4 linked regions of the Saccharomyces cerevisiae S288C genome follow. Changing the gene in region 4 together with the main gene of any one other region gives a genetic interaction. Each region holds a gene or a part of one and is shown on either strand. Other genes may lie near its edges. The genes, in order: SST2, YPL245W, PTC2 and TOF2.

Region 1 (4,481 bases), on a different chromosome or scaffold from region 4:
GGATGTTGATATTTTAATGAATGAATTTGCGTTCAATCCCAAGGTTTAAAGTCCTTTTCTTTTTTTGCGTAATGTTTACTTACCCTCGAAAAAATGTTATGTAATGACTGCGGTGCTACAGGAGAGGTAAATGATTTTCTATATACGTTTATATTTCTTCCATTTACGCACACTATTTTTTGTCCTTGAATAATTTAACTCAAAAAAAGTGTAAAAAACTGTGTCATTAGGTATATGTTCAATACTTTTGATCTTCAAATGACGTAAAAAAAAGTTTTCAGACGGACTTAAACCGCCAACCAGCCTTGGCCACAGGTGTATGATGCGAAGATTCGTAAGCGCTCACGTTAGTCACATCTCAGGATTGGAAATTATACTAGATAATAAATGGCTTTATTTAATCATATTATAGTTGATATAACAAATCACACCTCCGCTTAATTTATACGTAATAGTATTTACAGTCCTTATGGGTATCAAGACATATTAGGTTAGGAGAACTAAAGAAAAAAAAAAGGACTGTTTGTGCAATTGTACCTGAAGATGAGTAAGACTCTCAATGAAATTAGCACTTTTCTTGGATTTCTATTAAAGCGCTAGCATCTTTGTATACGTCTGACTGGGTAAATTTTTGAAAGGAATCGTTATTCATCAGTCTATACATTTCATTGCTAACGATCTCGAAGAGGGGATATAATTTCCTGAGGACCTTCAAAGTTGCTGGAAATGATTCAACCGATTTGGTATCATTTTGGGTGTTGTCCATGCCATAACGAACAATTGTATGTGAATTTTCTACTGATGCATTAGGCGAATGCGTTTCTGCCAGAGTTAACGGGGCAGGTTTATATTCCTTTAACTGATGTTTGAATCCTTGCTTCTTAAATGAACAGTTTTCATTTGAAAGATTTTTTGAAGGTTTTAGACTCACTTCAGGTGGTTCACCTAACGTGTCAGCCTCCGTTGAGCTAATTGATGAAGCTGCTGATTCCGCGGATGCAGGTGATGGATCGTATAGATTAGTAGGAAAGTGTTCCGATAATGGAGAATGAGGGTGCAACATGATGTCAGAAATATTCTGACGCAAGTTATGATGGATATTTAATTGATATGGTGATCCTATCATGATATAGGACGAATAAATGTGATATGCCATTTCAAGGCACTCATTGGCCTGTTTCATTAAAGCTGAATCAATCGTTTTTACGATATTGTTTTTTGAAGTACTGGTATTAGATTTTTTATCACAATGCTTAGAATCTATCAATTTTTTCAGAATTGTCATTTTCTTCAAAAACCTCTTAATCTCAATGAAGACATCCAAATTTTCTACACAAAGTTCCTTTTCTAAATGGCGCCTGAATAAATATCTCATACCTGGATCAGTTAGCACATAGTCCAGTTTATTTAAATTACTCGAAGAGATAAGCATGTCTTGAGAAAAACCTTCACTATCATCCAATGTCTTTTTTTCATCACGAACAGTCATATGACCCCTTAATGTGAAATCTAGGTCTATGGTGCTACCATTTGGTGCTCTAATATTATTGCTCTTACAACCTGTCCAAGAAACCAAATCCCAACCACGCTTGGACAAGGTAAAAAAAGAGGACCTGCTAATTTGAAACTTTTTCTTGTCAGTGCGTGATGGTTGTAAAAGAACTGGTACAATCAACCCCGTTTTTAAAAATAACGCTGCCAACGAGACCGCTTCTTTAACATGCATAATATCAGTACAGTCCATTATCCACTGCCATATAGCCTTTGTTGTAAAGGTGTACTTAATCACGATTTTTTTGGAAGTGCCAAACGTCTTATTTTCAAACAACCTAATACCTGCATTCGAAACGTAGTATTGCGTGTGCGACTCAGAATCTGGATTTGTAAAGAATCGATGAGCTAATGGCGATACCCTTTCTAAGTCATTTATATCGATGTTTCCAATCTGAGCTTGCCATCCTTGTTCTGGCTTAGATTTCTCAAAAGTAAATGTATCATCATTATTAGTGTATTCCAACAACGAAGATAGGCAAGGTAATGGGTCATCTGCGTTTGTTGGAGACCAAACATTTGGCTTAGCGCCCATCATTTTAATGAAAAGAATATGGATCAAATAATCACTATGGATGATTGAATCCGTGACAGAGCTTCTCTCAAAAGTGAAAAGTTTCATGGAGTTAAACGATGACAAAAGAATATCAGGCATTGTTTTCAACCCAATATCTCTAACATACTTTTGTAAAACAGCAACTCCCTTAGGTGTTGGTTGGAAAAGAACTTTCTCTTTTGGCTCGCCACGAGTTCTGTCCTGCGGTGTATGTAGTAGCTTAGAAGACATAAATAATGTAAGAAGGTGGCGCGCCAAACTAGGTTTAATATTATATGAAACGTTAATACAAGTTGTGTTCATATCCACTTTTAGTTCCAATTGTCCCATTGCTTTAATAGCTTCCTGATATGTAAAAGTGAAGTGGAAATGTTTAGTGAATGCAGTTAATAAGAAAGACTTAGTGTCACTACTATGTTTTTTCTCTTTCAAATCCAAACAAATTAGAAAAATGGAATATACTGTCTTTAAATCATTGGTAAAGATCAGTCCATTCGGCGTTCTGCTGAAATTTTTGGAAGATAATTCATGCAACGTCCTATTTTTATCCACCATCTTACAACTCTATCTTTAATTACCAAATTGAACCTATAACGCCTCAGATAGTGCGTGCAAAACCTAGAAGGAACGTACGACAGTAACACCTCCAAAGTTAAAGGACGATGAGAAGTAAAGACAGAGCTGGGATTATGATTTCATTCACCGGTATAAATATAACAGGACAGACAACAATTCTAACGCACCAGCAACCAAATCCAAGTCCTAGTCAAAAAAAAAGCAGTATTGGGATCATTGTTTCAAAATTGAATATTATGAAACGTTTAAAACCCAGACATCCCATAATTATTGAAGATGATTCAGTTAAAACTTCGCATACTTCATGGCTTCTTCATTAATAGAGACAACGGAGGTGGTTCAACTTGAACTTTTCCAAAGGAGTTGCCATCTCTTTGTATTGTTCGAACTCTTTCAAAAGACCTTGGTAATTTATCTATCATGTACTTTTCGAGTTAACTTAAGTGGAAGACGCTGGTTTTTCTTAAAGTTATAAGCACTATGTGGGTAATTTTTTATTGTCAGTCTGTTTCTGATCTTATCCAACAATTCATCAAAAGTTCTACTCTGGACTATAATCTCAGTGTAAGCGTTAAACAAATAGGTAAAAGGGTGCGGAAAGACCTTCAAAAATTCGAAAAAGATTGCTAAGTTGGATTCTTTATTATTCAACTGGCATGTGACAAGCGAGTTGTAAGACTGTAATAACTTGCTTCCGGAATCAAAGGTAAACTTTATCATTTTTTTCAAATATTCTTGTTCTTGAGCGCATGTTAATATCGGCATCTCAAACACAGTATATTTTGTGTTGAGTTTCTTTTTGAGGGATGTCGATAGGAGAGACGAAATGCTAACGTTATTTGAATAAATGAGGACCTTAAATGCAATGTTATTACTTTTTTCAAGTACCGATAAAACATTGATAAATTCGGTAAGCTTCGAAGGTTCTATTATAGTTGAAGTAGATAATTTATCTAATTGTTCGAATTTGAAGTAGACAATATGATCGATACTTTCGTCATTATTTATTTTCCTCATAACCATCATCATTAGGTCAGACGTGTGATTTGAAGGTTTTTCACTAGCTTCGAAATCTAGTTGTCCGCTATATGAAGCCTGCCCCATTGACTCGATACATTCTTTTGATTTGCTTGATTGAATACCCTCTTTCATTAAGTAGTCATTCATTTCTATAATTACGACATTTATATCGACTAAAGACAGTGTTTCTGAAACTGCACGGTCGATACCAGCATATTGGTGTATATGTTCAACTTTGTCGAAGAAAACGATACAATTTTTCATACTCCTAAGATTTTTTGAAAGAAACTTACTTAAGCTCGGAACGTAGCTTATTGACAAATAATTGGTGCCTAGCTCTTGCAAGGCCATTGATTTGAACTTCTGGTAGAAAACATGGTCCACTCGCTCCTTAACTGGACTCGGCTTACACACCTTTGGGCTGCTAACACTTTTTTTAATTGGAACAAGGTTCAACTTTCTCAGTACAGTAAAATTTTTTTGCTCCAAATCATCGCTTATTGCTTTCACAATCTTGTCACTGTCAACAACCTTTTTCGATCTCCTTATAGGTGCAAAATCGGAATCTACATGCTCCATTGTCTCTATATACTAACCACGTTCGTATTTATATCTATATTCGTACATATATTGTTCTAACTTATTGAAATTGATGGTTAAGAAGATCCCTTCTGTACATATCTGTAAGCGCAATGTTTTCTTCATTGAAAACAGCTGCAAAATTAGAAAACTAAAATAATAACTTTCAAGATAACTAAGCCGGGTTGCCCTTTGACCT
Region 2 (3,755 bases), on a different chromosome or scaffold from region 4:
AACCCAAGCAGACGTAGTCGTCGGCGCTCCAATCGAGCCCAAAGAGTGGATAGTGTGATTGATATTCGCACACGGAGGCCATGGAAGGGTTCATCAGATTGCTTACAACCGGAATATTTGCAGCATAGCCCCTCGCCTGCTGTAACTGAGAATGATTTGGTGAAAAAACTGGTGGCGAGAAATCTAACGGTGAATACATCGGCGATCGACTTGCATAGTACGTGGCACTTAGGTCACAGCCACTATTCCTTTTGCTGTTACCGCCATTGGTAGTGTTGCCAGACATTCCAAAGGGAGATGGGCCTCTACCTTGATCTTGTGCCGCCGAGGAAGGCCCATTAGTACCACTCAAGTAATTGTTCTTGTTATATGGCTGCCGCTGCGATGAGCCAAACGATATTGAGCTCCTTTTATTGCCATTGTGAAAGGGATCCATTTGAAGGGCGTGTATTTGCTCCTATAATTCCTTTCCTTCTTGTTGTCTGTTGACCCTTTAGGTTGTATGCCACTCTCGAAAACCTAAAGAACTGATTACTAAATTATTTATACAAGATTTCAGATGACAAGATGGTTCACCCCTTGCCCCTGGTCTTCCTCCCAGTAATTATTCATATTCCATTTTTTTTCATAAACGCACGCTAAGGAAAAAGAAGAGACTGAAAATTCTTGCATATTAGAATATAAAATGATATATACTACATTTATATACATCCTTAAACTGTGAAAGAAAGAATAGCGATACAAATGTCTAGGCAGTCCCTAGGACAGTGCCGGAGTTGTCATTGTGGAGAGGCAATGGTGTTTCTGTGGACATTAACGGTTCGTAATCTTTAGTTCTGTCGATATCCTCATCTCTGTAATACTTAATTCCCCAAGGTATTAATCGAATTAAACCGTCTAAACTTTTTTCGATTTTGGTGATGATCCATCCTGGTGGAGTGATCTTGTTAAACCACGATTCCTTGTAGCCTATGGCGTAACCGACACATAAGCCGAAAAAATGACCCCAGAAACTGGAGCCAGGTATAACGACGGCAATTGCGACTAATAGTACTAGGGGTGTATATAATGTCGGAATTGAGTAGTCTGTGCGAAAGATCCTTGTTCTAGGGCGGATCTGTGATTCTTTAAAACTATAGTATGCGAATAAGGTGAAACACCACCCACTGGCGCCTGCAACTAATGCTTCTGGATATAGCAACTTACCCAACAAACAGTACAGAATTCCGGCAAATAGAGCACTCAGGTTCAAAAAAACACCTGTGTACACAGTCCCATGCGTTTCTTCGAAGAGATTCAAGGGTGCCCAGATGGCTAGCACATTGAACAGTAAATGAGGCAATGATAGGTGAATTAAAGGATAAAGCGATAGCCTGCTCATTTGCAGTTTGAACAATGACTCTGGCGCCAACGACAGGTCTTCCCTTAGGGCAAAAATAAAACTTAACAGGTAAATAGCGGTTAGAAATACCACAAGGCCTGTGGTCAACGCAGCTGGTGGATGACCACCGGGAAAAACGTACGACTTCCAATTCATAGCACGACCAAATAGCACAACCTAACAACCAGAGTGAATTGCTGTTCTCAGTGCTTCCAATTAAGCCTTTCCCATCCCCCTATTCTTCTTGTATCGATGCAGTTCAAAAAAAAAAAAAAAAAGAGGCTTTAGATCTCAAAGGGCCGAAAAAAGTGAAAAATTTTCTCGAGAAATCATAAAAGCAGCCATCGCCATATATAAACAATCTATGCATATGTATGCAGCATGGCATCGCATCTTTCTTGGCGACCCGGTAGTAGCATTTAACTTCCATTAGAACCATATAAAATGCATGGGCCTACTTCAAAAGCTATTTCCCGCAATGTGAGAAGCGTGAAGAGACCAAGAAGAGCACCTAGGCCCGTGGTCTCCACGCAGGCTATGAACAAGTTGTCTAACGTAACACTCTCTGCTGAACAAGAAAAGTTGAGAGAGCGCGTTTTGTCGTTCATGCGTTCCAACTTATCTCAGTACAAGTCTGACTGGAAACATCCGGCCATGTTTGTAATCCAAGGGGACGCAGGTACAGGCAAGTCTGTGATTCTAAACTCCTTGTTCAATGAAATTCAGAAACTATCCCAGTTCTCACCTTCTTCTGAAGATATCTTACATGGGACACATAATTATCTGGTAGTCAACCATCCCGAGATGTTAAAGTTATATATCCGGATTAGTGACAGTTTCAAATATATTTCTAAATCGTCACTAGAACGGCCCACTTCGTTGATCAACAATCTACAGAAGAGAAAAGTCATGGCCGATGTAGTCATTGTAGATGAAGCACATTTGTTGGCCACTTCTAAGGATGCTTTCAAAAGATTTTATGGCGAAAACCATCTCAAAGACTTAATGTCCCTTTGTAAAGTGCTTGTATTGGTTTACGATGATAAGCAAGCTTTAAGAATGGGTTCCTATTGGGATGAAGGTTCTAATAACGGTGCCACTTTAAAGGACTTTTACAACGAGATTCCACCAAAATCCAGAGACTGGTACACTTTAAAACAGCAGTTTAGGGTTGCTGCCCCACAAAACGTGTTGAACTGGATTGACCAAATTAGTGTCGCAGGTAAAATCCCACCAATTGAATCTGTGCTATCTAAGGGCAATGCAGATTGTGCTGACGATAAAATTAAGAATTTTGATTTCAAAATTTGGGATGATTGTGGCGCCATGTACGAGGCAATCAAGGAGAAAGACCGTCAATACGGCCAATGTAGGATGCTATCTACTTACGATTTTCCCTATCGCTTGGACGGAAAAGACTATTACGTTGAATGTGGTGACAATTTCAAAGTTCGCTGGGATCGCTATACTCCACGTGAAGTGACGCCTTGGAGTGAGCGTTGCGACACGATTGATGAGGTAGGTAGTGTGTATACTATCCAAGGGTTTGATCTGAATTATGCTGGTGTAATTTTGGGCCGTTCCATTGGGTATGATGCGGCTAATGACTGCATCAAACTAAGACCAGAGCTGTATGACGATAGGGCCGGTTTCACCAAAAAGAAAAACATTCACAATGCAGAGGACGTTAAGCAAAAGATTATTATGAATAGCATTAATGTCCTCTTAACTCGTGGCGTGCGTGGTCTGTATGTTTATGCATACGATCCTGAATTAAGAGAGAGACTGCTTCGTCCATCAAAAAAATAGGAAGTACATAGTATAGACAAATTTTATAAATATTAACTTTTATTTGTTGCGATCTTCACTAATCTACGCAGATTTTGCCTTCGGTATATTAGCCTTCTTCTTGTTGAGTGCTTCCCAAGTGATTCCACCAAATACTATAAACATCCCCACCCATTGCTGGAAACGTACACTCTTACCGAAGACAATAATACTCAAAATCATCGAGACCATTTTCCTGGTGACTGTTATCATGATCAAAACTAAAGAGCCAAATTGTTCTAGAGTATAGAAAATAAAGCATTGTCCCATAGCGCCACAGAACGAATAAAGCATTAAATAGCCCCACACTTGTGGGTCCATCGTCAATACAGAAACGGCATTATCCCATTGTTTGCAGTCGATCACAATAAAATACAAAATATTCCACAATATCACGAAGAGGTTCAGTGTAAACATCAAGTGTGCACCTGTTATCAAAGTTTGTTTTCCCTTTTCTTTGGCCTTATTGGCCTTTAGTAGCTTATCTTGGGTGGCGTTGGTCAATCCATCAAGGAATAAACTAGAGAAAAGTAGTCCAAACCCTTGT
Region 3 (3,847 bases), on a different chromosome or scaffold from region 4:
CTGTCCCTGTTTTTGTTGTACTCGGTTTTTTTCCTTTTTAAACTGTGTGCACTTTCTGATTCCGTCTTGTCGAGGCTGTCGGAGAAAAGAGTAGCACACACGACGATAACAATAGATACGGTAGATTGGATGGGGCACAGATGTGCAAGGCAATGCGCGAATCCTGTCTACGATGTCTGTACCGTCCATCCTTTCTCCTTTGCATCGGAAACATCCGCGCTGTCTACCTTAGGAGGACCTCATGGGACGGGCGCTGGGGACTCGTGCCCATCCGGGACTGGGGGTGAGATTTCACAACGGGGCCGCTGCTGGTCTCACCCTCTGGCCGGGCCGGTCCGTTTTTGTGGCGTCGCTGCAGGTAAACGCGCAGTTTCTGCGCGTTTACCCCTGAGGTGAATACCATCTTCAAGCGTCAAACTGCATCCGGATATCCTGCTGTTGGTAGCGATGGTGGTGGTAGTGGTGTATGCTCTTGGTTCTGGTGGTGTCTTGCGTCTTCTCTTCTCTTTCTGTTCGTTCGGTTCGTATATAGGTATGTATATATAATGAAGGATGGAAGATCCTTCATTGCAAGTGGGAACGGCCGGCCTTGTGGTCAGTGTTACTGTCATTCTCGGGATGGGAGGAAGCCGGGTCATGGCCCATGGTTTGGAGCAGTTGGGCCAAGGCAGACTGGGGAAGAGTGTAGGTGACTTTGTTCCCGTTGCTGTCTGTCTTCACTCCTCCTGTAGCACCAAGTAGCGCCTCCAAGGATGCTAGATCAATGGGGCCGGAGGTCTTGCTCTTGGATTGGCTGGAAGGGTCAAGATTTTCTGCATCTGTGTCAGCGTCCGTGTCGTCTATGTCCATTGGATCGTCGTTATCGGCGGCAGTCACCGAGGCCACAGCGGCTTCGTGGTCGCGAGTGAATTTGTCCTGAGGTTTCTTCGTAGTGATAGCGAACACCTGTTCGTCGTTACATTTGGAAAAATCGTAGTAACTAAACACCCTTCTTCTCTTGTCTGCAAAAGAACGCACTGATGTGCGGTGGGCCTTGGACTTCATACGGTCGCTCCATTGAGCGACGTCTTCACCTTCTTTCAGCAGCGCGACAACCACTATACTCATGTTGTCGCATCCAATACCCGTCCCCTCTGTGGTGGGAGCACAACAGACATCGATGATCCGCGAAGAAATTTCATTCAATGTCTTGCCTTCGCGAAGGCCGAGATGAACCAAGTCCACACAATCTTGGGAAGTCAAACAATCCCAGATACCATCACAGGCTAAGATTACAAACTCGTCCCTATCGTAATCTAGAGAATGCTCGAGAATGTCCGGAACACATGTCACTATTTGCTCCTCGGGGCCCAATTTGGGGTTGGATTTGAACTCAAAATCACCAATGGCACGAGAGAGCGCCAAGTTACCGTTGACCCTATCCATTTCTACGAAGCCATCAGCTGCCACAATACGTGATTTTTCGCTTGCTAGAGTGGGCTTGTGATCGTATGATAATGCCTTTGCGTTCCCGTCGGTGGCGAGTACGGTTCTACTGTCACCAGCGTTACCACATACTAACAAGTTCTGGGACTTTGATACTAATATGGATGTAGCCGTACATCCGCTATGGTCTTCTTTCATCACAGGATCTTGTAACAGTTTCACGTCTGTGTTTATGAAAGTATCAATCAAAGCCCTTGGTAAATTTCCTTCATGGAACGATTTCTGCTCTTGCAGGATCTCCACTATTTTATTACCACAGTATTCTGCTACTTTAGCGCCACCATGACCATCGAATATACCGTAAAATGCAATATGGTCCTTATCGGACTTTGTCAAAACATTAGGCTCTAGAATGTGTGAATCCTCCATTGACATCCGCCACCCTTGCATTGCACACAGTCCAAACGCGGTCAAGGAGTCAGCACCGGAGTGGCTCTCTTTATCAATTACCGGGTTTGATAGAATTTGTCCCATTTTTCTTTTTCTGGTTCTCTATATTTTATACAACAATGGAATAGTCAAAATCCTAGGGATGTTATTAATCGGAAAACTACTATCTCGAACGAATAGTTATAATTAATCAATGAAAAAAAAAAAGAGAAAGTAAAAAATGTTACAACAACTAATATACACTAATTGTCCTTGATAACAGAACTTGTTGTAGTTTTATTCCGTGGGGAGGAGGGTGAATTTTTTTTATTTAGTTTTAAAGAACAAAACAGAAGTCTATATACTTAGCACTATAATATCCAGTTTCAATTTGCTCTGTCAGAATCCGAATTGGCTGGTTTTCTTTGTTTTACCATCCCCTTCCATTTATCAGCATGATATTTTTTTTTTTAGAATAATCCTTTCAATCGTTGAAGTAGTTTGTGGGAAAAAAAAAGTTGTTAAAGGCATTAACGTACACAGTGATTTGCTGACTCATTACGATTTTTCACTCATCGAAGTATTGTTAGATTTTGATATATTAACATGACTAAAGGGCTATGGTCCATCGTAGCAGAAGGCAATCATCACTTTAAAACCGAGGCCACAATCGATAATTAGCACTGATATTCTGATTGGAAAAAAGGCAAAAAATGACCGCTTCCATCAAAATTCAACCGGATATTGACTCTCTAAAGCAATTACAGCAGCAAAATGACGATAGTTCCATAAATATGTATCCCGTGTATGCGTATTTGCCATCATTGGATCTGACTCCTCACGTGGCATATCTAAAATTGGCACAATTGAACAACCCTGATAGAAAGGAATCATTTCTGTTGGAAAGTGCTAAGACAAATAATGAATTAGATCGTTATTCATTCATAGGTATCTCGCCACGCAAGACCATCAAAACCGGTCCTACTGAAGGCATTGAAACAGATCCTTTGGAAATTTTGGAAAAGGAGATGTCTACCTTTAAAGTAGCCGAAAATGTTCCTGGTTTACCGAAATTAAGTGGTGGTGCTATTGGTTATATTTCTTATGACTGTGTTCGTTATTTCGAGCCAAAAACAAGAAGGCCTTTGAAAGATGTCCTAAGACTTCCAGAGGCATATTTAATGCTTTGTGATACCATTATTGCCTTTGATAATGTTTTTCAGAGATTTCAAATCATTCATAACATTAATACCAATGAAACTTCGTTGGAGGAAGGTTACCAAGCTGCAGCACAAATAATCACTGATATCGTATCAAAGCTAACCGACGATTCCTCGCCAATACCATATCCAGAACAACCTCCTATTAAATTGAATCAAACTTTTGAATCGAATGTGGGCAAGGAAGGTTACGAAAATCACGTCTCCACTTTGAAGAAGCATATTAAGAAAGGTGATATTATTCAAGGTGTGCCATCGCAAAGAGTGGCAAGGCCAACTTCGTTACATCCTTTCAATATTTACAGACATTTACGTACAGTGAACCCATCTCCTTACCTGTTTTATATTGATTGTTTGGATTTCCAAATCATTGGTGCATCTCCAGAATTGTTGTGCAAATCGGATTCCAAAAATAGAGTCATTACCCATCCAATTGCTGGTACTGTCAAACGTGGGGCTACTACTGAAGAGGATGATGCTTTAGCGGACCAATTACGTGGCTCGTTAAAAGACCGTGCAGAACATGTTATGCTGGTAGATTTAGCAAGAAACGATATTAACAGAATTTGTGACCCATTAACAACAAGTGTCGATAAACTGTTAACTATTCAAAAATTTTCTCATGTCCAACATCTGGTTTCTCAAGTCAGCGGTGTTCTCCGCCCAGAAAAGACAAGATTTGATGCATTCAGATCGATTTTCCCTGCAGGTACTGTCAGTGGTGCTCCAAAGGTTAGAGCCATGGAATTGATTGCCGAACTAGAAGGAGAAAG
Region 4 (4,741 bases):
TTTTCTTTCTATTGAGTGGTCAGTTAATGTGCTACTTCGCTGAAAACTTCCTTGTTTTAGCATGTGGCATTCTCAGTGTACATAATGATTTATAGCTCAAAGGCTTTTAATGTTTAGGTAGTTACAGACCTTTTGCCGCCGTGAATTTTTGACGTCTTGTAGTGCTGTGATATAATTGGACTATAAATCATTACCCGGCCTTTTAAGGCATGAGTGGCGTTCCAACGTGCTGTCAAAACTATGAGACCAAAAACCAAAACACACCCCTAAGAAATGTATAGGGATTTATATCAGCATAAAGGTGCCATAATTAAAGAGATTTAGCCTGAACCCATTACTATTCTGTTACAGTTAAGTACTCATACAGACAGCTAGAAAAAGAAGAAGAAATACCAAGTACAAAGAAAGGAAACCATGTCCAAGTTAGAAACCGTTTACTTATACGCTGGTGAAGAACAACCACGTGTTAAATTGACCTGTATTAAGGAAGGTCTCACTTTAACTCAGGTTATCAAGTTCGTGCATTCTATTCAAGAATTGTACGGGATTGAGTTGCAAACTTCTGAGACCATAACAGAAAATTTGAAGATAGATTGTGCACCCGCATATTTGAAGCCGAATTGTATTCCCCATTTCTACATTCTCGAATATGAAGAAATAAGTGACACCTTTTTCATTTGGAAATCTGATGGTCGTTGGCAATTAAATAAGTTGTCTGCCTTGTTGTACGTGGATAACGACGCTAACGTGGTTAAGAACACTTCCTGGAAGGAGGTTTTCCAGAATGATCAACGATTTAAAAATTATGATAAACGGGCCTGGTTACAAAATTGTCTAGAAAAAATGAATAGAGATCTCTCAAAACTAAACGTTGAACAATTTTGGTCTCAATATGATAAAATATGTCAAAGCATTGCCAAACAAAAGAAAAAACAGGAACAGTTCAACATGGAGGTTTTCGATAACTTCAAAAATATTGTTTCTATTGCTATCATAAAGACCAAAGTTTTATCGAATAAGCGACTTTTGACAACAACTTTAAAAAATTATCATAACTCGATGAAGAAAAAGTATAACATCCAGGAACAAAATCTTAAGGAAAATAGTTTGGCATCGTGCTCAAACAATGAGCCTTCCGCATCTCTGGAAAGCGAATCAAGACATTTTTCTCCGGTAAATTCGCTGTCTCCTTCATCTTTGAGTACCGATGATGAGGCTGTCTCGACAGACTACATCTATAAAGGTCCTGAGTCTAAACCAAACGTGAATTTCATGCATTCAAGTGCTACAAACGATCTGATCAAGTCAAATTTTGAAAGCTATTTTAAATTGATGGCCGAAGACTATGAAACTTTTGACTTGAGAGCCTGGTCGAGACAAAGACCTCGAAAATTTCAGCTTGTGGAAAAAAAAAAAATCACTAAAAACCCTCCTAATAGCCATCATCCGCATAAAAATGGCAAAATATCATTTTAACTATTTCCGGGAAAACATGTCTTTTTATAGCATCTACATCCATTAAATCAAGAGAATAAAAGTAAAACTCCAAAAGTATGTACGTATATAGAACCAATTATTCAATCATTTATAGAAATGTGACCTGTTTTTTCTCTACTATTGTTACATAGGCATCACGAAAAAAAGTCGCATTATACGATACTGTTATATAATTTTTTTCATATTCTTCAGATCTCAAATGCAAGATGGTCCTAATTTGTTTGTTTGTTTATTTATTAGTTTCGCTGAAGAAGGAAAACAAGTCATTTTTGGTTAGCTACCCAATTATACAAGCATTCAATAAATACGCCAATCTTTTGCCACATTTCTTATAATATCCTTTGCCCTCCTTGGTGTTTGGTTCAAATAAGTAAATGATAAAAATGTGGAGGTTACAGATTGTACTGGTGCCGCCAAGTGCTCAAGATATTATCACATTTCTCGAAGCACGCTTGAATACTCCACAATCAGTGTCTCCTATGGTCCAGTATAATGAAGATATAATTACGCACAACAACAGTATCAATAACTGTAGCGACCCCTCTCCTACGAGCCCGTCTTCGCAAAATTCTATTCAGTCGAATCGTAGTAGTGATTTCATTAACTACCTCCCGAATTGTAAAAAGTTTTTACATTTTACGGACGGTGACAATACCCTTTTACAACTATCTAATGAAATTTTAACTAAATTTGATAGACTTTATCCAAATTTCAAAGAATCCATTGAAATCGTATCTCTACAAGATAGGCATGGTTGTGATTTGGACTCTGAATTTATAATAAAAGACGTATTTGAAAATGATGGTGTGGTTTTGGTAATTTTAAAAGATGAATTAGACTGGAGTAGAAATCAACATATTTCACTTTTACAATTGGCAAGACAGCGGAGACGGCAGGACAACAAGCCATCCACAAAATCCATCGTTACTGAAAAGAGAAAAAAGATCTCTAAGGAAGACTTATCTTCTATATCAAATAAAGATACAATGCATCTAATAGCTAAAAGCTCGCTCAAGAATAACTTCATTAATAAATCAAGAGTATCAACGCCGCTAATGAACGAAATTCTACCGCTTGCAAGCAAGTATGATGCACTGAATAAAGAAAAGTGTCCCATGCCACTTACTTCCACAGTAGTGGCATCAAATGTACACAAAGACGTAAAAGATCACGCTCGTGCTAAAGAGGGAGTTGTAACGCAAGGGAGTGATAACAATAAAGAAAATATACCTTCATCCACTCAACAACAGAAAAATGATGGCGCTAAAAGGGCCGAATCAAAGGATTTAGATCTTTTACGCAATTCGTCAGAAGATGCTGATTATGAACCCGCAGATGAAAACTCCCCTCAAATTTCGTTTGATTCGATTGATACCGACTTCCAATTGAGCACTACTTCTCATACTAATTCTGATATGCATATACAATATTCTAACCCCTCTAGTGGTGCTCATAGTCCCAGGAAGAGTTCCTTAGAAATTAAAGTTCAAAACAAAAAAGGTGATGATCTGCCATTGAACGACAAAGATATAGGTGAGAATTGTAGAAGGATAGAAGCATTTTCAGATGAAGAGGATTTTAATGAAACCGATAATGATCGTGCGGATTCGTTTATCAACAATTCTAAGAAGGCATCGATGGGATTTCGGGATATCAATTCCGACTTGGATAGCGTTTCATTCAACAGTGATATTGAAAATGCAGTACAAAGTACTCAAAGTACCAAAAATGTTGTTTCTCCTCCCTTTTTTCCTGAAAAAGAATTGAATAATCGGTTACATCAAAGTCAAGGTAAGGAAGCCCTATTTCGACTTGTTGAGAAGGAGTTTCCTGATAAATCATTGGGTGCTGCGTCATCTACTTCGCATGCAAAAGACGTAAAAATACAAGAAACTATTCGGAAACTAAATAGGTTCAAGCCAACTGGGGAAACTAAGGTCCAAAAAAGGAATAGTATTACGGAACCATATTACGGAAAATTTGGAATAATGAAGAAAGATAAACCCAAATCCATAACTTCAAAAGGGGTAAGTCTGGAAACAAAGCACTTTGATGATCCCAATACCATTATTTCCGGTGAGAAATTCGCAAAATTTGGTAAAATAAAAGTGAAACGAAAAACTGATGATGTTGGATCGAAAGTTATAGAGTTTAAAAGAAAAAGAAATATGGGGAATAGATCCCTAAAAGATATTTTTGCCAATGCTGGGAAACCGCCAAATGCAGCTTCGACCATAAAAGTAGTCAAATTAATGAGAGATCCTGTTGATAATAGTAAAGACAAAGTGGAGGCAACTTCTAATAGTACGGCTCAGGAACAAGAACAAGTCTCACCCAAGTTGCCAGTTATGAATTCAACTCCTGGAAAAAGAAAAAATGGCCAAGCGATACCGTCCAGTTTAGAAAGAACACCGCAGCTCAAGAAAGTCAAGGTTACCAGGTCGCATTCTTCACCTTCTTCTTCTTCTTCCATGTCACTTGAATCTTCATTGGATAGCTCTTCCTCAGATGATTCGGATGATGATTCTGATTCGAGGAACGTGCAAGTTAAAAAAATTAATTTCAAAACAAGTCATGGACCAGCTGGAAATTCTAATGGAAAACCAATGCTGGATGTGGATGACAATGAAATAAATACAAAGAAGTACCAAACACCTAAATATGTTGAAAGTGATGAAGACGACCAGTAAGTCTGTCAGTAATTATGTTGGGATCTCTCAACCATATCTTAAATATTCTTGGCGAATTGTAGTAATTTTTTAGACTGGTTAATGATATCATAATTAAATCTTCAAAAGCAACCAACAAAAGAGAACTAATAGCGTACGGTATGCATCAATTATATATGATTATAACGGACTTTTATTCATGGACGTTTATATCATTCTGGATTATTCGTCATTATTGTTCATTGTTGAACACAATATAAAAAAATATAAAATATGGTTGCTAAGAGATTCGAACTCTTGCATCTTACGATACCTGAGTATTCCCACAGTTAACTGCGGTCAAGATATTTCTTGAATCAGGCGCCTTAGACCGCTCGGCCAAACAACCACTTATTTGTTGAAAATTTTAGAATTCAAGTATACCCAGTCATGTATTAAGTTAATCTTTATGTCATCTTTCTAAACTTTATATGTGTTGGAATAAAAATCCACTATCGTCTATCAACTAATAGTTATATTATCAATATATTATCATATACGGTGTTAAGATGATGACATAAGTTATGAGAAGCTGT

What was found.
Region 1: mutations in TOF2 (region 4) and SST2 together harm fitness more than expected from each alone (negative genetic interaction), as found in Saccharomyces cerevisiae (2 studies listed by BioGRID).
Region 2: mutations in TOF2 (region 4) and YPL245W together harm fitness more than expected from each alone (negative genetic interaction), as found in Saccharomyces cerevisiae (2 studies listed by BioGRID).
Region 3: mutations in TOF2 (region 4) and PTC2 together harm fitness more than expected from each alone (negative genetic interaction), as found in Saccharomyces cerevisiae (2 studies listed by BioGRID).

The regions. Positions count from the first base shown.
Region 1 is NC_001144.5:1,038,705-1,043,185, forward strand, and holds SST2 (GTPase-activating protein SST2), read right to left. Parts: upstream 2,663-4,481; coding exon 566-2,662; downstream 1-565. Other genes in the region: leucine-responsive transcriptional regulator LEU3, read left to right, coding at 1-49; RIF2 (Rif2p), read right to left, coding at 3,095-4,282. UniProt on the Saccharomyces cerevisiae protein: Desensitization to alpha-factor pheromone. Is involved in regulating the signaling pathway for responding to mating pheromone.
Region 2 is NC_001148.4:83,761-87,515, forward strand, and holds YPL245W (uncharacterized protein), read left to right. Parts: upstream 1-1,825; coding exon 1,826-3,190; downstream 3,191-3,755. Other genes in the region: YPL247C (uncharacterized protein), read right to left, coding at 1-436; putative rhomboid protease RBD2, read right to left, coding at 749-1,537; UDP-galactose transporter HUT1, read right to left, coding at 3,254-3,755.
Region 3 is NC_001137.3:335,382-339,228, forward strand, and holds PTC2 (type 2C protein phosphatase PTC2), read right to left. Parts: upstream 1,960-3,847; coding exon 565-1,959; downstream 1-564. Other genes in the region: anthranilate synthase TRP2, read left to right, coding at 2,568-3,847. UniProt on the Saccharomyces cerevisiae protein: Dephosphorylating regulator for many key proteins. Dephosphorylates the cell cycle master regulator CDC28/cyclin-dependent kinase 1; its activity appears redundant with phosphatase PTC3.
Region 4 is NC_001143.9:458,370-463,110, reverse strand, and holds TOF2 (Tof2p), read left to right. Parts: upstream 1-1,871; coding exon 1,872-4,187; downstream 4,188-4,741. Other genes in the region: chromatin-associated RNAPIII regulator FPT1, read left to right, coding at 415-1,476.